Linked DNA regions of Arabidopsis thaliana. The protein of the gene in region 1 interacts with the protein of each later gene in a pairwise test. Each region holds a gene or a part of one and is shown in the gene's direction. Other genes may lie near its edges. The genes, in order: RK3, PUB29 and PUB9.

Evidence for each region.
Region 2: the proteins of RK3 (region 1) and PUB29 interact in a two-hybrid assay, tested with the Arabidopsis thaliana proteins (one study listed by BioGRID).
Region 3: the proteins of RK3 (region 1) and PUB9 interact in a two-hybrid assay, tested with the Arabidopsis thaliana proteins (one study listed by BioGRID).

Annotation. Positions count from the first base shown.
Region 1 is NC_003075.7:11,386,996-11,397,000, reverse strand, and holds RK3 (receptor kinase 3), read left to right. Parts: upstream 1-3,774; 5' UTR 3,775-3,910; coding exon 3,911-5,207; intron 5,208-6,088; coding exon 6,089-6,223; intron 6,224-6,312; coding exon 6,313-6,506; intron 6,507-6,584; coding exon 6,585-6,795; coding exon of another isoform or gene 6,796-6,800; exon of another isoform or gene 6,801-6,886; coding exon 6,887-7,124; intron 7,125-7,220; coding exon 7,221-7,371; intron 7,372-7,455; coding exon 7,456-7,782; 3' UTR 7,783-8,174; downstream 8,175-10,005. Other genes in the region: B120 (S-locus lectin protein kinase family protein), read left to right, coding at 1-925, 1,011-1,246, 1,331-1,541, 1,623-1,860, 1,960-2,107, 2,226-2,543. UniProt on the Arabidopsis thaliana protein: Involved in the regulation of cellular expansion and differentiation.
Region 2 is NC_003074.8:6,431,801-6,439,579, reverse strand, and holds PUB29 (plant U-box 29), read left to right. Parts: upstream 1-3,533; 5' UTR 3,534-4,098; coding exon 4,099-5,346; 3' UTR 5,347-5,498; downstream 5,499-7,779. Other genes in the region: AT3G18700 (uncharacterized protein), read left to right, coding at 6,675-6,815, 6,902-6,955, 7,081-7,168, 7,260-7,325, 7,683-7,779. UniProt on the Arabidopsis thaliana protein: Functions as an E3 ubiquitin ligase.
Region 3 is NC_003074.8:2,351,638-2,359,467, forward strand, and holds PUB9 (plant U-box 9), read left to right. Parts: upstream 1-3,002; 5' UTR 3,003-3,246; coding exon 3,247-3,537; exon of another isoform or gene 3,538-3,884; coding exon 3,885-4,976; 3' UTR 4,977-5,228; downstream 5,229-7,830. Other genes in the region: CHIP (carboxyl terminus of HSC70-interacting protein), read right to left, coding at 6,686-6,814, 6,910-7,020, 7,106-7,259, 7,350-7,483, 7,786-7,830. UniProt on the Arabidopsis thaliana protein: Functions as an E3 ubiquitin ligase. May be involved in the abscisic acid-mediated signaling pathway, at least during germination.

The DNA of each region.
Region 1 (10,005 bases):
ACCTTCTTACCGCAGATGAGAGTTCGTGTGAATCCACAAACCGGAGACAATCACGCTTTTGTCTCATGGAGATCTGAGACTGATCCTTCCCCTGGTAATTACTCATTAGGGGTTGATCCCTCTGGAGCACCAGAGATTGTGCTTTGGGAAGGGAACAAGACGAGGAAATGGAGAAGCGGGCAATGGAACTCTGCGATTTTTACCGGGATTCCGAATATGTCTCTGTTGACGAATTATCTTTACGGATTCAAGCTTTCATCTCCTCCAGATGAAACAGGTAGCGTGTACTTCACGTATGTTCCTTCAGATCCATCAGTGTTACTTAGGTTTAAGGTTCTTTATAATGGAACCGAAGAGGAATTGAGATGGAATGAGACTTTGAAGAAGTGGACTAAGTTTCAGTCTGAGCCAGATAGTGAGTGTGATCAGTATAATCGTTGTGGCAAGTTTGGTATTTGTGATATGAAGGGCTCTAATGGAATCTGTAGCTGTATTCATGGTTATGAGCAAGTTTCTGTTGGGAATTGGAGTAGAGGTTGTAGAAGAAGAACACCGTTGAAGTGTGAAAGGAACATTAGTGTTGGAGAGGATGAGTTCTTGACTTTGAAATCTGTGAAGTTGCCTGATTTTGAAATTCCTGAACATAATCTTGTTGATCCTGAGGATTGCAGAGAGAGGTGTCTGAGGAATTGTTCTTGCAATGCTTATTCTCTTGTTGGTGGTATTGGATGCATGATTTGGAACCAAGATTTAGTGGATTTACAACAGTTTGAAGCTGGTGGTTCTTCGCTTCATATCCGTCTTGCTGATTCCGAAGTAGGGGAGAACAGGAAAACAAAGATTGCAGTGATTGTCGCGGTTCTTGTTGGTGTGATCTTGATAGGAATCTTTGCTCTGCTTCTATGGAGATTCAAGAGAAAGAAAGGTACTAACTACGTTCTTTCTTGATTTCTTAGTTTGGTTACTGCATCATAAGATCTTGTTGATTTACTTCTCTTTATTATATGCAGATGTTTCAGGAGCATATTGTGGTAAGAACACCGATACATCGGTTGTTGTTGCTGATCTGACCAAGAGCAAAGAAACTACTTCAGCGTTTTCAGGATCAGTAGACATAATGATTGAAGGGAAAGCTGTTAACACATCCGAGTTACCTGTCTTTTCTCTGAATGCTATAGCCATAGCTACTAATGATTTCTGCAAAGAAAATGAGCTTGGAAGAGGTGGATTCGGACCAGTCTACAAGGTTGGTTGATTACTTTGGTTATAGACAAGAGTCTTTGTGTTTAATTTTTGTGATTTTTTTGTTGATGATTGTGATATTTATCAGGGTGTTCTCGAAGATGGACGTGAGATAGCTGTGAAGAGATTGTCTGGTAAATCAGGACAAGGAGTTGATGAATTCAAGAATGAGATTATTCTCATAGCGAAGCTTCAACATCGGAATCTTGTGAGATTACTTGGATGTTGCTTCGAGGGAGAAGAGAAAATGCTTGTTTATGAGTATATGCCTAACAAGAGCTTGGATTTCTTCCTCTTTGGTATGTTTCCTTTTTTAAAGATCCAAGAAAGAATAAGCACTTCCTTTCATTCTTCTTAGTTTTGCTCTTTTGAATGTACAGATGAAACGAAACAAGCGTTGATAGACTGGAAACTGCGGTTTTCGATAATTGAAGGGATTGCGAGAGGATTGCTTTATCTTCATAGAGATTCAAGATTGAGAATCATTCATAGAGACTTGAAGGTTAGCAATGTGTTGTTAGATGCAGAGATGAATCCAAAGATCTCAGATTTTGGTATGGCAAGGATCTTTGGTGGTAACCAAAATGAAGCTAACACGGTTCGCGTTGTTGGAACTTAGTAAGTAAAAACTGAATTCCAAAAAACAGAGCAAATGTTTTATTTCAATGAATCATGTTCTTAGCAACTTACTTTACATTTGATATTTGTATATTGTAGCGGATACATGTCTCCTGAATACGCGATGGAAGGACTTTTCTCGGTGAAATCCGATGTTTACAGCTTCGGTGTCTTGTTGCTAGAGATTGTAAGTGGGAAGAGGAACACAAGTCTTCGATCTTCTGAACATGGAAGTCTCATTGGTTATGTAAGTTTCCCAAAAACTAAGAGTAAAAACTGTTGTTCTCTCTTAATGAGCATTTGAAATTTTGGTTTGGTTTGGTTTATAAATGGTCTAATTAGTGGTGGAAACTGAATGCTTGCAGGCTTGGTATTTGTATACTCATGGGAGATCAGAGGAGCTTGTGGATCCTAAGATCAGGGTCACATGCAGTAAGCGAGAGGCCTTGAGATGCATACACGTAGCGATGCTATGTGTTCAAGATTCGGCTGCGGAGAGACCCAACATGGCTTCAGTTTTGCTTATGTTAGAGAGTGACACAGCGACGCTCGCTGCGCCTAGACAACCAACGTTTACTTCCACCAGAAGAAACTCCATTGATGTCAACTTTGCTCTTGATTCGAGCCAACAATACATCGTTTCTTCTAATGAGATCACTTCAACGGTTGTTCTTGGACGATAAGATTCTTTTGTTTGTTCTTTTGTAAAGTTTTTTTTTATATAATTGTTGTGAAAACGTATAATATTTTTTGGTTAATTAGGATAATGGAGTAATGGTTGTTGAAACTTGAAATTTTGTTCATAAAGTGAAACATTACAAATGGGGTTTTATTACAGTATGATGTTGATATTTTGAAAAAATCACCACACTATTCTTTTTCAAAAATATCACAATGGATCAATTTACAAGTATAAACAAATGAAAACAGATAAAATATCAAAAAGCATTTATCTGAAATAAATCTTCAAATAAATCGTTTATACTATAACAAAGGTGGTAGTCTTAAAATATTTAGGTTAGTTTTGAAATGAGGATCATAATAATTGTTTTTCATTCTATTAAATATAGGTGAGTTGTTTCAAATATTGTAGGATTATTGTGTTTAATTTAATTAAAATGTGATTGATTTTTATGTATAGAGTTATTATATATAAATCAAACGAGGAACGAAGAATTATGAGGATGTTCAAAAATAAGACTTTTGGAGCGTTGACTATGGTAATTAGTACTGTTTTGATGGTGAAAAGAGTATTCGGTCTTCGTATTTCATACTTATATAATATACCTAAAACCGTGTTAACATAAATTTTCCTCTCCTCCAAGCTCCAAAGCCAAAAATCGTCAAACAAAATGCATAGGACAACATTATATTTGGTGATGAATAATTCAAATGTAGACTCATTATTAAATTGAATGGAATGATGAATTATTTAGAGTTAGAGAAAAAAAGAAAAAGTCAGGAAAACGTGAAACGACCCCTTTCTTTTTTGTCTTCGGAGAATGCGGAAATAAATTAAAGTAGGGTTTGTTTGATGAATACTAACATTGAAGTTCTTATTGGGAAGGATAAAAAAAAAATTGAGTTATTTATTACGAAAAAGAACACTGAAATTTATATAACTCTCGAAGCATGCATACAAAAGGTTGACTGATAATAAAATACGAAAAAGCAATATATTAAGTAATTTATTAAAAAAAATGGTCATCAATAATATCATATTTTGAAGAAAAATTCTGAATTTATGAAGTAAAAATGACTATTGGAAAAGGAAAGAAAGCCTGACAAAAAAAAAGAAGAAGAAGACTTTTTATTTGCTAGGTCAACTATGAATTGGACTGTACACATAGTACATAACTAGATATTTTTTCCAAATGCGAACAAGAAGACCAAGAAAAGAAAAAAAGCAAGGTAATATATTATTGACAGAAATAAAATCGGTTACGTAAGGTTCACACATTACACAAAACATGTCCGATATCTCCAATGGAAATAAACTCTCATACTTTTCTCAAGAAAGAGTGAAAAACAAAAAACTTGGTTTAGAGAAATGAGAGGTTTACCAAATTTCTACCATTCTTACACCTTCTTCTTCTTCTTCCTCTTAATTCTGTTCCCTGCTTACTCTATCTCTGCCAACACTTTGTCGGCTTCAGAATCTCTAACTATCTCAAGCAATAACACCATTGTGTCTCCTGGTAATGTCTTCGAGCTTGGTTTCTTCAAACCCGGTTTAGATTCTCGTTGGTATCTTGGAATTTGGTACAAGGCAATCTCTAAGAGAACCTACGTATGGGTTGCAAACAGAGACACTCCTCTCTCTAGTTCCATCGGAACTCTCAAAATCTCCGACAGTAATCTTGTCGTTTTGGATCAGTCCGATACACCGGTTTGGTCGACGAATCTGACCGGAGGAGATGTGAGATCTCCATTGGTGGCAGAGCTTCTTGATAATGGTAATTTTGTGCTCAGAGACTCCAAGAACAGCGCTCCAGATGGAGTTTTGTGGCAGAGTTTTGATTTTCCGACAGATACTTTACTTCCGGAGATGAAACTTGGCTGGGATGCCAAAACCGGGTTCAACAGATTCATTAGATCATGGAAATCTCCAGATGATCCATCAAGTGGAGATTTCTCGTTCAAACTCGAAACCGAAGGCTTCCCTGAGATTTTTCTATGGAACAGAGAATCACGAATGTACCGGAGTGGTCCATGGAATGGAATCCGGTTTAGTGGTGTACCGGAGATGCAACCATTTGAATACATGGTTTTCAATTTCACTACGAGTAAAGAAGAAGTGACTTACTCATTTAGAATCACTAAAAGCGACGTTTACTCGAGATTAAGCATAAGCTCCTCAGGATTGTTACAAAGATTCACTTGGATTGAGACAGCACAGAATTGGAACCAATTCTGGTACGCACCAAAAGACCAATGTGATGAGTACAAAGAGTGTGGTGTTTACGGTTATTGCGACTCGAACACTTCACCTGTTTGTAATTGTATTAAAGGGTTTAAGCCGAGGAATCCTCAAGTGTGGGGATTGAGAGACGGGTCGGATGGTTGCGTGAGGAAGACGCTACTGAGCTGTGGTGGCGGAGATGGGTTTGTGCGGTTGAAGAAAATGAAATTGCCGGATACTACCACGGCTAGTGTGGACAGAGGAATTGGTGTGAAAGAATGTGAACAGAAGTGTTTAAGAGATTGTAATTGCACGGCGTTTGCGAATACGGATATCCGGGGTAGCGGGTCGGGTTGTGTGACTTGGACCGGAGAGCTTTTTGATATCAGGAATTATGCCAAAGGTGGTCAAGATCTTTACGTTAGATTGGCTGCTACTGATCTCGGTTAGTTCATTCTCCACTATCTCTATTAGACTAAATGACATATGTTTGGTTTTCATTTTCCACATATTTACTTTTGCTAAGTAACGGTTGATAATAGTCTTCAAGATCACTTTTCAAAACATGTAAACAGTTTTATACATACTAGAAACTAAAAAGACATCATAAAAGATTTTGTCAGTAAGACTAAAAATTGATGCTAAAACTGCCCAATCAAGTTATTGAGTAATCCTATCACATTATACTAAAGATTTTCTTAAACGACAAAAGGAAGAAACGTTTTTTAAGGGTTTCAAGAATAGTAATTAACTTGGTTGTTAGATAAAGCACTTTTTTTTTGGGGTAGAATGTGAGAATGGTGTTGAATAGTGCAAGTCAATGTTATATTGTTGTTGGTTAACGAATTTGGAATTTAACAAAACGTTTTTCAGTTTTATTTTCCCTCTTTTCAAACTTCTTAAACTTGATTGAGATGTTGACGCATTCGGTCTTGGCATTATATGTGAAAACTCTTGTGATAAAGAACTAAGGTCCAATGGACTTTTAATCTTCTTAAAAGATGCAACGCATGAGTGAAACTTTTGATTACTACTATATTCTTCACAAAAACTTATCAATCTCAAGAATAATATGGTAAGGTAGATCCAAAGCCAAAAGAAATTATTTTTAGGTAGACCAATCTTTATGTTTTGTTTTTATTGGCGATAACAGTATAACGCTGTTTTTTGTTTGTTGGCGTTTATCTTTAATCAAAAGTACGACAATGTTTATTATTTTGTTAAATCATAAGACTAATACTAGTTTGTTTTATAAAATGATATTCATTTCCATGGTCGAGGTCCTAAATGTTGTGCTCAATTTGACATCTCTTTTCATTATTTCAGAGGACAAAAGAAACAGAAGTGCAAAAATCATAGGTTCGAGTATTGGAGTGAGCGTTTTGCTTCTTTTAAGTTTCATTATCTTCTTCTTGTGGAAAAGGAAGCAGAAGCGATCAATACTAATCGAAACACCTATTGGTATATCTGTAAATTTTAATTCCTTTCTTTTTGTTTGTAAATTTCTTAAAACTAATATCTTTACTGTTTTTGGTGTCTGTATGTAACAGTTGATCATCAACTGAGAAGCCGAGATTTGCTAATGAACGAAGTTGTAATATCAAGTAGGAGACACATATCTAGAGAAAACAATACAGACGATCTCGAATTGCCATTGATGGAGTTTGAAGAAGTTGCCATGGCCACAAACAATTTTTCTAACGCCAACAAGCTAGGACAAGGTGGTTTTGGTATAGTTTATAAGGTAAAAATGATTGAAAACTTAATTCATAATCTATCGCTGGACAAATATTTCGTTGTGTAACAAAATTAAGGGTTACAGGGAAAGTTACTTGATGGTCAAGAAATGGCAGTGAAGAGACTATCAAAGACATCAGTTCAGGGGACTGATGAGTTCAAGAATGAGGTAAAGTTGATTGCAAGGCTTCAGCACATAAACCTTGTTAGGCTTCTTGCATGTTGCGTCGATGCGGGTGAGAAGATGTTGATTTACGAGTACTTGGAAAATCTAAGCCTCGACTCTCATCTATTTGGTTAGTGTCTCAACTCCTTACAACTCTGTTCTAACAATTTTTCAATGTCTTTAAAAATAATGTACTCAATCCAGTGATGATTCATTAGCAGACAAATCCCGAAACTCTAAGCTAAATTGGCAAATGAGATTTGATATCATCAATGGTATTGCTCGAGGACTTCTATATCTTCACCAAGATTCACGGTTTAGAATTATCCATAGAGACTTGAAAGCAAGTAACATCTTGCTTGATAAATATATGACTCCAAAGATCTCGGATTTCGGAATGGCTAGGATCTTTGGACGGGATGAGACAGAAGCTAATACGAGGAAGGTGGTTGGAACCTAGTAAGCAATCATTCTCCAAAATATTAAAAATCTTTGTTTGAAATCTGAATTAAAAAAAAATAACTCAAAACTTTGAGTCTAATCTTCGTTATTCAGCGGTTATATGTCTCCTGAATATGCAATGGACGGGATATTCTCGATGAAGTCAGATGTTTTCAGTTTTGGGGTCTTGCTTCTTGAGATTATAAGTAGCAAGAGGAACAAAGGATTCTACAATTCGGACCGTGACCTTAACCTTCTCGGTTGTGTAAGTTAAAAACCTCTCAAACTTGATCTTGTTTTACACTCAAAATAATGATAACACTAGAAAAATTTCGATCATTATACACAGGTGTGGAGGAATTGGAAAGAAGGAAAAGGGCTAGAGATCATAGATCCAATCATCACAGATTCTTCATCAACATTCAGGCAACATGAAATCTTAAGATGCATACAAATTGGCCTCTTGTGTGTTCAAGAACGTGCAGAGGACAGACCAACTATGTCCTTGGTAATTTTGATGCTCGGAAGCGAATCAACAACTATTCCTCAACCTAAAGCGCCCGGTTATTGCCTGGAGAGAAGTCTTCTTGACACTGATTCTTCGTCGAGTAAACAGCGCGACGATGAATCATGGACAGTGAACCAAATTACTGTCTCGGTCCTTGATGCTCGGTAATGTGACTGTCAACTAGCCAATCTTCTATACTAAGATGACTAAATTGAGCGACAATAAGAATCAACTAGGAAAGATGGTATTAGTTATGTGCATAGTATTTTCTCTGTACGTCTCCGTTGCAAAGGTTACTACATGATTCAATTGTCTTAATTAAGCATGTATTCTGTAATTGCTTTATGGATAACCCAAATAGTCCTGCAGTTATAGGACATCAATGTGATATTTTGAAAGATTCTCAGACTTTCATATTATAAATTATGGCTACTAGAAGAGGCAAATATTGTTGGTTAGTAGAATTTCGGGTTGTACGTTTTGAGATTAGGTTTGTACATGTTGTAATAGATTTTTTTTTTAATAAGTACATACGTTATAAGAATTTTTTATGATCAGCAACACCTATTTCCATCGCTAACCATGGCCAAAATCCGGTGGATTTAATTTATGGGCTTTAGGAAGATCATGGGGGTATAGTGGATTTTTTGTTTTTAACTGATGACAGAGTAAATCCTTCATGGTTCCTTCATTTTAAGGTGATTTCAAATTTTCCTTCATTTCAAGGTGATTTCAATGTTTGTAGAGGCTTGATTAAAATTGTTTTAGATCATAAGGATTTTTGTGCATCAAAAGTGTTCGCAATTTCAATGTTTGGAGAGGCTTGATTAAAATTGTTTTAGATCATAAGGATTTTTATGCATCAAAAGTGTTCTGTCAAAATTCCTTAATTAACCTTTGATGAGTAGCTCGTCCTTTAATAATGATAGTTGATATACAGAATTGTGATTTATGAGCACATTAATATTGACATGAATGCTTGCTAATTTAAATTTTAAATGAGAGTTTAGAAATTTAGAATATTTAGCATAGATAATTAATTTCTTGAGAGATGATTTTTTTTGGTCGGGTTCTTGAGAGATGATTAGTGTTATATATTCGTGATCTCTTAATGGTTGTCCTTACTTCTTATTTATGCTTTGTTTCCCTAATCTTTATGATAAGTTCCTAAGTCCATGTCTATCTTGATCGATTCTTGTGAATCATGATTTATATATTTTAAGTTAATCTTGTTTCTTGTTTGCGTATTGCATGATTTTTTTTTGTTCCATTTCGGCTGTCTTTAGTTTAGTTACTGTTTAGTTTATCTTTTTTTCCGAACACTTAATTTTATTAATCAATCTCAGCGGAAAAAAAAAAATTCTCTTTAGTTTATCTTATTTGACAAAGTATTTTTTCGTTGACAGAATTTTTTATATTTTATCTTGGAGAAACTATTTATTTTCTTCCTTTTCACTTGTGTGGTGTCAATATATAGACTAGACAAAGAAGGACATCTTGTGAGTAAGTAGGTTCAGAATTTGACAAATTCAATTTGTTTATTTATTATTATTTTATTTTTGATAAATTCAGGATTTGACAAATTCAGTTTGTTTATTTATTATTGTTTTTTTTTTTGAGAAATTTTCCATCAGTTTGGTTTTTAGTACCATTAATTGTTTACATAAAAATTTCGTAAATAATATGAATTACAAGGCTGGTTAAATTTAGTGCTATTTTGTTTAAGTTCAGTTAAGTTAAACTGAATTTGGCACCCTATTTTTTTTTTTTTTCCTCGAAACAACGACTAAATTTTGCTATTTTTTTTTTAATATAGAAAATGGCCGAACAAAGTCACACAAATCTTCTAATTACACATATGGCCATAATCTAGAAGGCTAACATTTTCAATGTATCGAAGGATGCACTTGCATGCGAGAACGATACCGTGTGATGTGGGCTTTCGTGGGACAAGGATAATGGATGAATATATACTTGGTGAACTGCATGTGCTATGTTGCATGGAAATTAATTTCACACGTAGATTTTCTGGTAAATTGTTGACCATGAAAAAAGTTGGTTGAAGTAATTTTAATTGAAGCGATAAAAAGTCATGGAACGTGGAATAACACTACTCTTTGTCGTGTGGGTAAAATATAAATAAGATTCATGGGTTAGATAAACCTGAAATAAATATGTGAAAAATCGTATAAATAAAGAAAGCAAAAGGAAAATGAACAACATATGAGAGTGGTGGAGAGAGATCGAGAGATGAGAGGTGAATTACCAAACAAACACCATTCTTACACCTTCTTCGTTTTCCTTTTCTTCTTCTTAATTCTGTTCCCTGATCTCTCTATCTCTGTCAATACTTTGTCAGCTACAGAATCCCTGACAATCTCAAGCAACAAA
Region 2 (7,779 bases), on another chromosome or scaffold:
AAGCATAATTGCACTGCTTTGACAAGGAAAAAACATAATTGCCATTGCTTTTTTAATCATCAAATTCAAGCCCATTCAAATGGGCTTATGCAGTCCCCATTATGGTTACTCATATGACTTTACGAAAAGTTTTTCCATTTTTTTGACGGCACTTTACTAAAAGTTTTTTTTCTTCAGATAATATCCAAATTGTTAGTAGTCTAGTCGTTAATGTCTCGTAAATTTTTGTGATTCAAGTAACACGAAATCCCGCATGTCACCGATCGATTAAGATGTTTTGTTTCAACAAGCACAATTTAACTCTATATGTGGGTTAACATAAATGCATATTGATGATACCTTTATAGCTGTATAGTTCTCAATAATTAATCTAATAATTTGATTTTTTTAATCACACCACAAATAAAATAAAGTCATACTATTCTAGTTTTGTAGCTCAACCGATATACTAACTAGCTATAAAATTCGGAAAAAAATATCAAATTCCAGCACCAATGACGAGTCATAGATAAGAGATATAACTTTTTTGGTCTTTAACCTGAAAATTTATGAATGAATCTAGGTCAGCAATTTCCTTTAACCAAAAATTTCCAACTTAGATAGACCACAAAGTGTAAGATAATAAATTTGGTCACATGATCAACCAACAATGTTCCAAACTTTTTAAAACTATATATTCAGTACGTTACATGTATATAACGACACGTTTACTCAAAAACATGTATAGCCCACACGAGCAGATACCCCCTCGTACATGCGAAACCTTGTTTCTTTCTTGTCAACAATTCTTTCAAATATACTAAAGAACTCTTGTTTGATCATGTATACGTAATATGTGTGATCAAAATCATCCCGTATATTAAGGAACAAAAGGATGACCTTTATTACATGATACAAACAAAAGTAGATTGTTGTGAAATTATATGTAAATCGCACGCGAATGAATTATATCATTGTTTTCCTATGTTACTTTGTGGTTCCTCATTTTACTCTCATCATCTTCCTTAATTACCCGTAGCGTGTGAAAAATCTTCATCATTAGTATGTTATTATCAATAGCATTTTAAATTTTATGTGTAGATTAGGTTATAATCAATATTCGAAAAGAAAAACATTAGATGCTATATGGATCTGTTCGGAGGCCGCGCGTCTAACCTCTACACTAATTACGTTTGGAGGTAGTTCTAGTCATTCTTTGACAAAAGCTAGTTCTGGTAATTGTGTATTTTCTAAGAAAATAGTACTATATACTAATGTATTGAATATGTATCAGTTGGCCCGCCTCAATAAAAGGATTTCATTTTCGCGGTTACCAATTTTTTGTTGATTTAATCAGAATCATAACGTTTAGATGTTTCTTACCATATAAATTACCCGTTTTATATCACCCAAATTTAATAATGTGTTGAAGTTAACATATACTACACAACAAAATCAACTGTACCAAATCTGAATCGAAGAAAAAAAAGCTGGTTAAATCTGATAAATTCCTTACAAATATTCTAGAAAATTCCTCATAAATAACTCGCTAAGAATTGAATGATGTCGACTTCGAATGGGAACATGACACTGGATATGTTTTTTTTCATGTGATGCAAACGAGTTGCCTCTGCCAATGGCAACCTCTGAATAATAATACAACCCCACACTTTTGGAACTGGATTCTTCTTCATATCTCTATCTTCACCCTATATTTAGTTTAAATTATTTACACCCCAAATGTATGGAGAATTAACATTGAATATGCCTCATACAGATTTATCTTTGCCATTTAACAACCAGACTAACGTTTTTAATCTTCACTGAATGTGTTTTTCTTCTTTTCGATAAAAGCTTATCACTGAGTATATTATCTCATTCTATTTTTAGTTTAAATCTCGCGGTAAACAAATATAGTCATCGACCATGACACCATGTGAATTAACTATTAACTAATTACATGAAACAAAATAAGTTTTAAAGTTGCAGTTTCTATGAGATTGATATGTATTATCAATGACAAAATAGGACGTACGTAAAATCTTCTTTTTCGTTAGTATATTTCTTTTGTTTATTAGAATTACATGTTCCCTCGATTAGAAATACATTAGTTGCAAAAAAAGAGAATATTAAAGCTCCCAAAACTATCCTTAGTTCCTTGCATATGAGGACAAATGAAAATTATTGTCCACCAACAACCATAATGGATGGATCAGATGATGAGTGAGGTAAAATTATTAAAAGGTGAGATAATTGGCGTAGATGTTTTTCCGATTTGGCATAATTGCTAATTGTAGACAATGATGCACGTTGGCATCATTATAGTTTTATTTCCTTTCGGTGCAATTTACCCTATTATCAATTATATGCTCACGAGTTAATATATACATACTCTGATACTCAATTCATTTACCTGCCATAAGAATGATTATAAACAACAAATACAACGAGAAGAAATTTTTTTTTGATTACCATTCATTTCACTTAAATACACGTACGTGCTATATCGGCAAGTGCTAGCTAGATCGATGTCTATTAAAAGGTTGATACGATTTTACACTCTTTTTAACGGCTATTAGTTATGATCTTACCCGTTTAATAATGCTAAACCTAATTGAAAGTTGACCTAATAATAAGAAACTTAATTATTGTCCCAACATATTCAAAATAAATGATTCACGAGTCAGCAAAGCATTTCATCCTACTCCTACCTCTCACCTCTGAAAATTGAAATATTTTCAACACTTAAGTTTGATTTTACTATTAGGCCAACAACTTTCGGTCATCACCTTATGCTTTTCATCTACGGTTCAAAAAATTCAAATTTATTTTTATTTTCTTCTATTCAAAGTAAGAAACTATACGTCTATACGTACTATTAATGGATCGAAGGAGATACGATTAACCTTTTTTCTGAAAAAGAGCAACAAACTAATTGTACGTGAAAAAAGTAAAACTAATCATCTAAACTTATGTATTATTAAATGCAAAGCACCACCTTGTTTTAGCATCTAAACATATGTATTATATATATTAAAAATGGCACAACCGTGAGCAACTAAAGCAATGATTAATAAATAAATCAAGACCAATCTCAAATCCATTGAACTTGAATTATAATTAATACAACCCCCTAATTTGTTATGAGCCAGTTATACATCTTCTTCATTAGACAATAAGACAGTCCAACCATAATACATATATACATTATACTTTTCAGACAGCTAAAATGTTATGTATCTTCGAATACTTTAATAATTGTATATACGTTATTGCTCATCACAAAAAAAAGTCTAATTTATCTAACAAACATTATACTCAACAGAAGATGACAATCCGAAAAAGAAAAAAAACGCTTTTACTTTTCCCCCGAATCAAACACCTTCGCTCGAATAATAAAATTATCAAACACTCTTTCTCCTTAGTGGAAGCCACAACACAATTTATTTATCAACAACATTAGACATAAACTATCCAAAACATAAATGTCATCAAAATATTATTCGGCCATGGACCAATATCATCTTTGTATATCTGTACCACATTTGCTGACTCAGAGTTTGTTTTAAGTAACACAAATATTATAACATTGCTTTTGTAATCATTTGTTTTTAAATTTCATTCATAAAAAAAGTACTAAAAACAGGACATTATATGGACCAAACCCATGTGCTCTCGACGAGACCAAAATAGGCCACTCGTGCAGAGAACATGTCCCACCACTCCCACACGCTTCTGGCCTCCAAACTCACACGTGTAAGCAAGCATAAATAAAAGATCGTCACCGTTGGTCAAAGTCCTCCCATCAACAACACATCTTAACGGTTACGACTTGACCCAATCCCCTGACTCTGAAACGTTCTTTGATTTTTGACCCATGACCAGAATTTTTGTTGATTCTTTAAAATTTCTGACTTGTCATCAACATTAACATCTTTAATACACTACTACTATAGTATATAGTATAATCTTGCTACGGTGACGCAAGCGTGCGTTTGACTCTCTCTTAAAATCCCACCTCCACTCACTTTCTCTCTTCACCTTTCACTTAGCATCATCTTCACTTTCCCGCATTTTCTCTGCCCAGATTTTCTCTGATTCTTTTGTTGTTTTTTTCTGATGGGGAGAGATGAAACAGAGACGTACATTACAGTGCCAAGTTTCTTCAAATGTCCGATATCTCTTGACGTGATGAGATCTCCGGTTAGTCTCTGTACCGGCGTGACTTATGATCGAGCCAGTATCCAGAGATGGCTCGATGGTGGTAACAACACTTGTCCCGCTACTATGCAACTTCTCAAAACTAAAGATTTTGTTCCTAACCTCACTCTTCAACGTCTTATCAATATCTGGTCTGATTCAATCGGCCGTCGTCACAACGGTGATTCTCCGGTTCTGAATCCGCCGTCTGGTAGAGAAGTTCCGACGAAGGAAGAAGTGAATGTGTTGTTGGAGAGATTGATGAGTCTGGAGAATTTGATGAAGATCGTTCGATTCGTGAAGGATTCGGATTCGAACAGAGAGTTTCTCTCGAAGAAGATGGAGTTCGTACCAATGCTCGTTGATATTATACGCACGAAGAAGACGAAGATCGAGTTAGTTATAATGGCGATTAGGATTTTGGATTCGATTAAAGTAGATCGTGAACGGTTATCGAATCTGATGTTGGCGAATGACGGCGGAGATTGTTTAACGGCGATTCTCTTAGCGATTCAACGCGGGAATCTGGAATCGAAGATCGAATCGGTTCGGGTTTTGGATTGGATCTCCTTCGACGCTAAATCAAAGCTTATGATAGCAGAACGTGACGGAGTTTTAACAGAGATGATGAAATCGATAAGTATCACTGAGTCGTCAGATCCGAGTTTGATCGAAGCGAGTTTATCGTTTCTAATCACAATCTCCAAATCAAAACGAGTGAGATCGAAACTAATCGCTGCAAAAGCAATCACGAAGATCAAAGACATTCTTCTGACGGAGACGTTAACAAACGTTGCCGTGACGGAGAAGTCGTTGAAGCTGTTAGAGACTTTATCGTCAAAGCGAGAAGGGAGATTGGAGATTTGTGGAGACGACAATGGTAGATGTGTGGAAGGAGTGGTGAAGAAGCTCTTGAAAGTATCGACGACGGCGACGGAACACGCCGTGACGATTTTGTGGTGTTTGTGTTATGTTTTCAGGGAAGATAAGACGGTGGAAGAGACGGTGGAGAGAAGTAACGGAGTTACGAAGCTGTTAGTGGTGATACAGAGCAATTGTTCGGCGATGGTTAGACAAATGGCGAAAGATTTGATTAAAGTGTTGAAGTTTAATTCCTCTGCTTTGGCTGCTTACGAGACCAAGACTACTCATATTATGCCTTTTTGATTTTTTAGTAGTACATTATGAATAAATATGATATAAGTAAATCTTATTATCAAACTATTTTGAACGTATAGATGTTGTAAATCTTATGAGAAATTTTGTCAGTTTTACTAATATTTGCCTCGTGTTAATTGAGAATTATACGATTTAATTACTCATAGCAACAATTTGATACATTAATAGTTTACACGATTTAGAGCCAAATATATCATTTTCTTTCAAATTTGTAGCTTGTGTCACACAATTATACAACTTGTGTGTGTTCAAAAACATTATTTTGAAACAGTAAAGAAGGTTTAAAGATGGATATGCACTTAAAATATTCGCAATTTGAATCATTCGGCATAATTTCAAACATTTAGTTTATAAAAATATTTGAATAAAACAAAATCAATAGTTAAAAGAATGATTTTGTAAGTTTAGATGGTGGGGAAAGGCATCGAGTGACTATTATCTGATTAATTTGATTAAGGCTATAAATTAAAACTCTCTAGTGTGACTAGATAGATACTTTTGGTTCAAAAGAATTCAAATGACAGCTTCGTAAGTGTGTACTAGATTAAGTTAAAGTATGGTTCACTGAATCTGACTAAAAGTTTTATTACTATGAGTTAAATGGATGGTTATGCAATTTTGCTTATTACTGAACCAAAATATAGGAATAAGGTTCTTCCCTTTGGATTGAAGTGACAAACGAAAACTGGTCTCTAATGTCTAAATTATCTTGTAAACTAGTACCTTTTAACAAATTTACTTTTCTTTCTTGTTAGAGGACGTTGCAACATTTCATGGTCATGCCTCTCTCACACCCACCCGCTTTTTTATATTCTATCCTTTGTTCGAATTTTGATTTGAATGGTACTTGTTTCAACATTTGATTTGCAACGGAAAATATTATCTTTTTGAATAGTAGGAATCTATACACGTAAGTTTTCAGATTGAATGAATTTTTTATATATTATATACGATATAATAAATATAAACTGATTGAGGAACAATAAAGATTGTTTTAGTAAAACAATTAAAATTATCTGAGTTGATATTATAGAAGGTTTCAGAATCCATAATCTTTTGTCTTATTTAACTTTATAACTTAATTAAAAAAAAAATGAAATTTATTTTGGAGGATAATTTAATAGAGTATCAAAAACATATGGATATTAATATCATCTACAACTTATTTTAATTTTTAATATATCCATATGTTTTTGATACCCTATTAAATTATCCTCCAAAATAAATTTCATTTTTTTTATTTTAATATCTCTGCCAGTTATGTTACTTCTTTTACAAGAACATCACATTTGGTGTCACCATTTTTTTCTACGACAATGCCTACTTCCTACACATCCTTCTCTGCTCAACCCACAAATAACAACTGGTTTTTGTTGTTCAACATCTTCTTCTCTTCCCTTCTTGTTATTGCTCTCCGATTTTTCGATCAAGATGTCTCAGATCGCTACAGTTACAAGGTATCCAAAGTTACCACATAAACTCTATACAACAACCCTAAATTCCTCTGAATTGCGAGTAAAGTTCTATGTTTTTTTGTTTGCAGTTCATGTTTCTATACCAAGGAGTTCAAAATCTCCTCTGTATCTTGAAGAGAATCGTCCGATAGATGTTTAATGAAGTCTTTACCGCGCTCGCCATTTTTTATCTCTGCAAGGAATCTCTAAAACACCTGCTTTATAACTTGAATGTCAAATCCACATGCCGAGGAGAAATCCTCAGCAGGACAATGGTTTGAAGTTTTTAGAGAATGCATTCCTTGTGAAAAAACAAATTGGATTAAAGTTTAAGAACATCAAAACTAACATGAAAGGTGAGATTTTTTTGTTAAATACTTTCAGATGCTACTTTTTCTATGTTGTTTTTGTAATAACTTTTTCAACTTCCTTTTCTTAATCTTTTAGAGAAGGCAGTCCTTGTGGAAAATGAAATCGGATTAAAGTTTAAGAACATCAAATTTGAAGTGAAAGGTGAACTTTTTTTGTTTGTTTGTTAGTTTCATATCCAAATTTTGGTAGTTTGAAAACAAAAGTTCCAACTTTTCATAGTCACGTTCATATCTACATCTATAATAACTGTTAGTAGTTTCAAATGCAACGTTTTGCTCTGTTTTATTTTGGAACCATGACAATAGAAATTGTTTCGTTTGCATGTATAACCAGACACTAGTAAACATTCTCTAGAAACTATGCAAAACACTAAACAACTCAATGACTATGAATATGTTAGAATTTTTAAAACTTAGCTTTCTTCATACCAAAATTGTAAATACAAAGCCATTGAGTCTACCTTCGACCTGTAGTGTTTGGTGGATGTGGTTCAGCAAGGCGAGGAGTACCCATGTCCGTCGTTGCCAGCCCTCCCTGATACTAAGGCATCGTCAAATTCGGACCTCGATATGGCGCCGAACCACGAGTACCAAGT
Region 3 (7,830 bases), on another chromosome or scaffold:
CCATTTGATTATACATTTAAGATGATATATAAAATTCTATTGAATATTCAATGTCAACTAAGTTGCATACACTCAACATTTTCAAGCAAGCCAAAGTAAAGTTTATCCAACCATCTATATGGAGTATGATAAAATAAAGTTTTTTGTGTACGTTTAATTAAATGAGAAACTTTAGTTTTATTTGGAACAATATCATAAACGTACTAAGTAGTAAGATTAAGAACATATAAAGGTTGCTAATTAGTAAAACAAAACATATCGGTTGTGTGTGACAAAAGAAACATACGTGTCAAATGGGCCTCTTTCATATATGTTCCACATAACATGATAACATTAATATGATAATTATTTTATTTCTTTCAATTATTGGTCTTGTCTTCTATCTTACAACACTTTAATTGGCTTCCAAATACGTCCAAACCCCATTAATGATCTTCTGTACTCTATATATATGTTTTTTTTAATCGAAAAAGTCTTTAATGTATGAACTAAAACTGAAAGATACGAACCAAGAATGGTTATTGTTTCATATTCAGAAATTTTTATCAGAAATATTTTCGATTCTCATGTATATATGGACTGAAAAATCACTATACACCAAAAAATAGCTTGTACCCATGAATTTCGACGTACATTCAACATTATTTCAAATTGAATCTTCCATCATTTTGAACTGCATGTTGGAATATCAACATTACGTTTTTTTCAAAAAAGAAAAGAATATCAACATTCCGCCGACAAAACAATAGGGCGAGAGGAAGTGGAGAAGTTTGAGAATTCAAACACATACATATATAACATCAAGGATATTTCGCTATAAAAAACACTAAAAATATCCCAAGCATAAATATATAATATGTCCAGTTTAGTGTCCACATATATGTTTTATGTTAATATATTTTGACAATTTGACATTTCTTTTTAATGTTAACGTACACCACACCTTACATGCCAACAACTCATAATTTCATGAATTTTCTCTGTGTAATTTCATCTGTAGATTACCAAACTCACTGCATTGTGAAGAAAATAACAAAGATTCATCAATTTTCTCTTGAATTTAACCTTGTACCAAAAAAAAAAATATTTTCTTTCAGAAGATTCAGTTTGTTTTTTTCAAACTTTTGGAAATGACATGTTCAAGATAAGAGTGTTATTATCACACAATCAAAACTTAAAGGAAAAAAAAACAGAAACAAAGATAATAATTTGAGAAAGCAGAGATGTCTAGCAAGCAGAGAAAAAAAACGACAGTTCGAAGATAACGAGGGCATTAGAAAGGGACACGTGGGTTAGAGGGTGGTCCTACGTAAACTGATTTTTTATCAGCAGTCCAGCTTGGCACTTGTGAGATTCTCTTCTGTGTTTGCAGATGAGTGGTGCCCACTTCTCAGAAATAATAGATATTATTCATACACGTGTCTATTTCAAAATGCCACTCAATAATAGTTGGTCTACTAACAACTTCAAATTTGAGAATTGAGTTGACACTATTCTAACCTCAACACTTTGTATCGTTGTATATGAACATCGATCACCCACTCTTATGGATGGTGGTTAAATAAACCGAAGTACAATAGTATTTTTTTTTATAAAAAAAATCCATACAAATTTAAACAAATTCAATAAATGTACTAATAATTTTAGTTTGAAGTTCTAACAATTAACAATGTAGACAAAGTGCCAAGACAAATTCCGTGGCCAATATATATAACTTGGTTTAGTTAAAACATTTGTTGGAATTAAAACATATTTTCAAAATTTCATGTTTTGGTGGAAGAAGTCGTTTTCACCTTTTAAATTTGTTTCAGACATGGAGTGATGTGTCATCTTGTTTAATATTATTGTCTACAGAATGTTACTAAAAGGTGAAAACCAAATCTTGATAAAGAAGTTAATTATAAAACAAAATCTTCCGGTTACATTTTTTTGGTTTTTTTGAATGTTATAGATTTGGTCAACTCTCTTAATTCATCCAATCACGCGTCGAAAGCTATAATAACACTTGGTTGCTTTTTTTTTTTTAATACAATTTTGTTTTTAAAACGTTTAGAACAAAAATAAAAAGAAGAAAAAGAAAGAGTGAAAAACGGCAGGGGTAAAAACGTCAAAGAAGAAATAGAGAGAGAGAGTGAAGAGGAGTACAACAGAATCCACGCGGAAAGACAGCTGTTCCCATGTTGGAATAACTGTGCGGGTCCCACTTTCATTACACTCACTCCTCTCGCACATCTTCTAATTTTCGCCGCCGTTACCGTCTTTGGAATTTTTTTTGGTTTACCACACTAATGTTACATTTTTCGTTAGAGATGATTTTGTTTTTTGATTACAACCTCCTACGACGTTTGAGTTATTGAGATTACTTTTATAAATTTCCTTACTCTGTTTCTTTGGGTCAACAATTCAAACAATGATGGTAATGGAGTGATCAATTGACAAAAAAAAAACACGAATCAAACAATGATCGATTATATAAAGCTGTTATGGTCTAATAACTGAATAATAAAATCATCATAAGTAAGGAACCAAATTCGAATACTCGCAATAAACCAATAATAGTAATTTAGTGGATAAAATAATAGTTATGGGTTCGGTGTCTTAAAGATTTGAGTTTGATCATCGTAATTCGTAAACCTTTGAAACATTTTCTGTTTTTTTCACAAACTTTTGGGAATATTTGTTTTGGCTTGACAAACTCTCCAAATAGCTCTTTCGTCGTTTAAAATCTCTTAGTTACAAAACAATGTATTGAGGTTTCGAACTCCCAAAACCAAACACAAGGGAAAGATGAAAACCATTAGGCCGATCAATTACTATTAAGTTATAACTAGCTAAATTACCAATAACGTGTATGGATTTATACCCAAAAAAATAAGTAAACGTGTATGAGTCTACGAGACAAATCGTGTCGGCTGTATTTTGACACCTTAGTCGCGAGGTAGGTCATACGTGCTGCATTATTAAATTCTTAATTTTGGTCGAATTAATTAGTAAATACTCCTAAATAATGACGTGGCAAATTCGGTGCAGGCCACAATTCTATTATAGTGAAGCACTAGAGTACAACAACAACACTTGTGCCTCTTCTTCTCTCTTCCTCATATTTATTACTCTCTCTTTCACAAACACACAGAAAATAAATAAATAAAATTAATTAATGTGAGAAAATCAATTCAAAAATTTGGACATACGTATCATCTGAGAGAAGAAGGGTTTGGTGAATACCGGCGGGTGGAACCGACGGCGATGGCGAAGACCGGTGTTTTCGATTCGGATCCGACGGCGATTGCTAAAGCCAAGGAACTGAAGCGTGAGATGAAGAAGTTGCTGATTAAGATCGATGACGAAGATGATTTGGGTGTTCAGACGATTGATCAGTTACAGGACGCTTTGTCTGCGTTGAGAGAAGCGACGATGAGGAAGATGGCGAAATCTTCCTCGTTAGAGATGCTCGAGACTGTGTCTTGTCCTGAGGAGTTTCGTTGTCCTCTCTCTAATGAGCTTATGAGGGATCCCGTCGTTTTGGCTTCTGGTCAGGTTTGTGAACGTCGCATTTCGATTCAATTCTTCTTCTTCTAGGGTTTTGAATTTTGCTGTTTCTGTGTTAGGTGACTGAAAATTTTGGATTTTTGGGGGAATTTTGATTGGCTTGAAACTTTTTCATCTGTTTTCTCGACCCGACTGAGAGAATCCGACTCAGGTTTCATAAAGTTCTTGTTTTGTCGGTAGTTTCGGTAATGATTTTCGAAACGATGAAATCTGGAGATTTTATCATGTAAATGAAAAAAGTGATTTTTAGAGGATAATTATGTGTTCCTTAGCTTGTTTAATAAATCTGGAAAGCATATAACTAAAAATTTATATATTTGTGTGTGATTTTGCAGACATACGACAAGTTATTTATCCAGAAATGGTTGAGCTCAGGGAACAGAACATGTCCCAAGACTCAGCAAGTTCTGCCTCACACGGCTTTAACACCTAATCTCTTAATCCGTGAAATGATCTCGAAATGGTGCAAGAAGAACGGGCTTGAGACGAAGAGCCAATATCATCCCAACCTTGTAAATGAAGATGAAACTGTGACAAGATCAGATCGTGAGATTTTCAATTCCTTGCTCTGTAAAGTCTCTTCTTCGAACCTTCAAGATCAAAAATCAGCTGCCAAGGAGCTAAGACTTCTGACCAGGAAAGGCACTGAGTTCCGAGCTCTTTTTGGCGAATCTCCGGATGAGATCACCAGGTTGGTGAATCCCTTGTTACACGGGTCAAACCCAGATGAGAAGCTTCAAGAAGATGTGGTTACAACATTGTTGAACATATCAATACATGATGACAGCAACAAGAAGCTCGTCTGCGAAAATCCTAATGTGATTCCTCTCCTTATCGATGCATTGAGGCGTGGAACAGTCGCCACGAGAAGCAATGCAGCTGCAGCGATCTTCACTCTGTCAGCTCTCGATTCAAACAAAGTACTTATAGGGAAGTCCGGAATCCTGAAACCGCTTATCGATCTCCTAGAAGAAGGGAATCCATTAGCTATCAAAGACGTAGCTGCAGCGATCTTCACTCTTTGTATAGCCCATGAGAACAGGAGTAGAGCTGTGAGAGACGGAGCTGTTAGGGTTTTAGGTAAGAAAATCTCGAATGGGTTGTACGTTGATGAGCTTTTAGCTATATTGGCAATGCTTGTTACTCACTGGAAGGCTGTGGAGGAATTGGGTGAGCTCGGTGGGGTTTCATGGTTGCTGAAGATAACTCGAGAGAGCGAGTGCAAGCGAAACAAAGAGAATGCGATAGTGATACTGCATACTATATGTTTCAGCGACAGGACAAAGTGGAAGGAGATCAAAGAAGAGGAGAATGCTCATGGAACGATAACAAAGCTTTCGCGTGAAGGAACTTCAAGGGCGCAGAGGAAAGCAAACGGGATATTGGACAGACTGAGAAAAGCTATGAATCTCACTCATACAGCCTGAGAAAAGCCTTGAAATCTGCAATGTAAATTACCTAAAATCTTGTTTCTTTTTTTTACTTTATTTGGCTGTAAGAATTTTTGTAAATTATTCATATCTTTAGGATCTGAATGGTTATTGGTTTTCGTATGTGAGATGTAAGTAGAAATCTGTGTGAATAGTTTTTGCGTTTGATGTTTCTGGAGAAATCAATCAATAAAATCAATGTTGGTGGCTTTATTCAGCTGTGAAAGCCTTGGTCAACAAGTAACAGTGTGTAGCTTTTCGTCTGTTTCTGTGTATAAATAAGTAGATTATTAAAAATACATAGAAAGGCTGTCATGTCGTGTTCCTCACATCACTGATAAACCACAAAGCAAATCAATCTAATTCCACTCTCTCTGGAAAAAGAGTTTATTACAGAGTCACGAGTTTTCCATTGATGTGATTTTTTCTCTATGTAATGTAACGTGACGATGTGATTCCTATTGTCGTGTTAGAAAAAAACAGTACTTTTAAGTTTATTTATATATAAATAAATACTCATCAAAGCTTATAAATAAATTTCGACTATCACTGATGAATTATAAGTTTTGTTAGAAAACATAACGGAGTAGTTTTGTAATATATTTCTAAAAAATGTTCTAGACAAGGCAAGAAGCATGTAAGTAATGATAAAAATCACATGTATTTGGTTGGTTGGATTGCTTGGAAGTTAGAATTGAATCACGAAATTGCTAAAACTCGTGATTCGTAATAATTACAGGTCAACATATCGTGAGAAAGTTGAAAAAATGGAATATTTAATAGAGAGGATAGAATATGGATTCGTCCTAAACCACTCTTTGGTGTTATTCCTCACCAAACTTTCACAGAAAAGCCAAGAAAAGAAAGAATTTGATGCTTTCTTTTTAACTTTTTATCCCCAAGAAGTAACGTTTACAATTCATTGGATACAAAAAAAGAAATAAATCCCATAAAGGAAGAAAAAGAATCGTAATAATCCACAACCACAATGGTGGGTTTACCTTTTATGTGTCCCCAGTGGAAATCATATAGATAAAGAAAATAGTAGTTTTATTTCTATTTAAAAGACCCCAAGATTTACGCCTTATTAGGCAGAATTCATTCAATACTTTGAATACCTTATGATGGCCCATGTCTTTTGCTTTCTTTCAACTTTGATGAACATTCAACTAAATCATTGTTTTTCTACACTATTGCATGACAACTTTTTGTTTTTATATTGAATTTTCAGGCTTTCAGTTTTATTTTAGATGATTAATCACACAATCCAGATTTTTTTCATGGCACAGAACCGGAGTGGTCCAAGAAGGTTTCAAAAAATACTTAAGCATGCCTTGGACTACATCCTAATGAGATACAATTCATCAATCTTGTTGACGTCAGAGAACTGCATCTAAATCTGTCTGTTATTGGGCTTTTCTCAATGATAAACAATATCTGTATGTATGTTATTGGGCTTTCCTCAATAGTAAATAAATTCTGTATGTGTGTTATATAGGCTAAGCCATATGGCCAATGTGTACAGAGTGCACAAAAAAACATTGTAATATATACACAGGGCAGAGAATCTTACACTGAAAACATCGGCAACAACAAACACAAATGTGAAAAAAGGTAAACGCACCCATCTGTTTTGTTCGGTCACCTGAGTAGTTAACCTCAATTTCTCATCCGCTTCATTGTGTTTATGTTAATCCCCATTTCGATCAACAACCCATCTTGTAAGCCCAGACGTGTTTTTCTAGATATGCTGCCACTGCCTCTTTGATAGCCAGATTTGGAACGAGATTAGCCGGGTCGATTTTTTCACGAGTTATAGGATCAAACTTCCCCACCTATCAAGTGGTGTAAACGATCAAACCTTAACAGGAATGAGGAATATTTTTTATAGAGATTAAGGCTACAAGAAAAGAGCGATGATAATGCAAACCTTCTTGAGATGTTCAAGGATTGCTGCTCTTTCATATGTAACCCCACTTGGAGAAATTACAGGATCTCGGAAAATCTCAAGAGTTATATTGCAACATAAATAATCTGGCACCTGAAAAGAAAAACCAGAAATGTATTTGACCTCAAATATAAATGAACGATGGGTCTTAAAAGCTTTTAAAGAAAATTTAATGCACCTCAGTTGGTTTATCTTCTTCTGCAGCTTTCTTAAACACTCGTTCAAGAGCTTTCAAACGCTCAGTATGGGCAGTATATGCTTCGTCTGAGGACTCTTCTGTTCGAGACATATCTAAAGCACGTTGTTGATTAAGAGCAGCCTCACAAGTTTCCCTAACACAAACATGAATAGTTCCATAAAGCCACAAAAGCACAGTTCCAAGTCGAATGATAGCACTGGATTAAGAAAGTTACAGAACCTACTTCAAACTATTCAGTTCCCATGACCGCATTGCAGAAACCAGTTCCCACTCCATGTATTTTGCTTTAGAAAGCTCTTCCCATATTTCTTCTACCATATATCCTGTTGGATTCGAGCATCTTCCAAGATCTAAAGCCTATATGAAACGTAGCTACATGAAGTTAACAGGAAACAGGTATCAAACCAAAATTTGTTTGCAGTATTTGATGGCATAAACAAACCAACCCATCTCTAGTGATTTTTCTAACTAAAACAAGTGTCCACAGTATCCACTTAGACATCTTTCAAAAGGAAAAAGATGGAGATTCAAGTGGTGCCTCACATCTTCATTAAGATGCTTGGAAACTACACTACTTAGGTCTCAACGTTACGACTTAAACAATCATGTCCACTGATAAATTTTACAGAAAAAAGCTTAGGACTAACAAAGATCCTTACCCTTTGCAATTCTTTGACTCCATTAGTAAATTCTTTCTTCTGCAA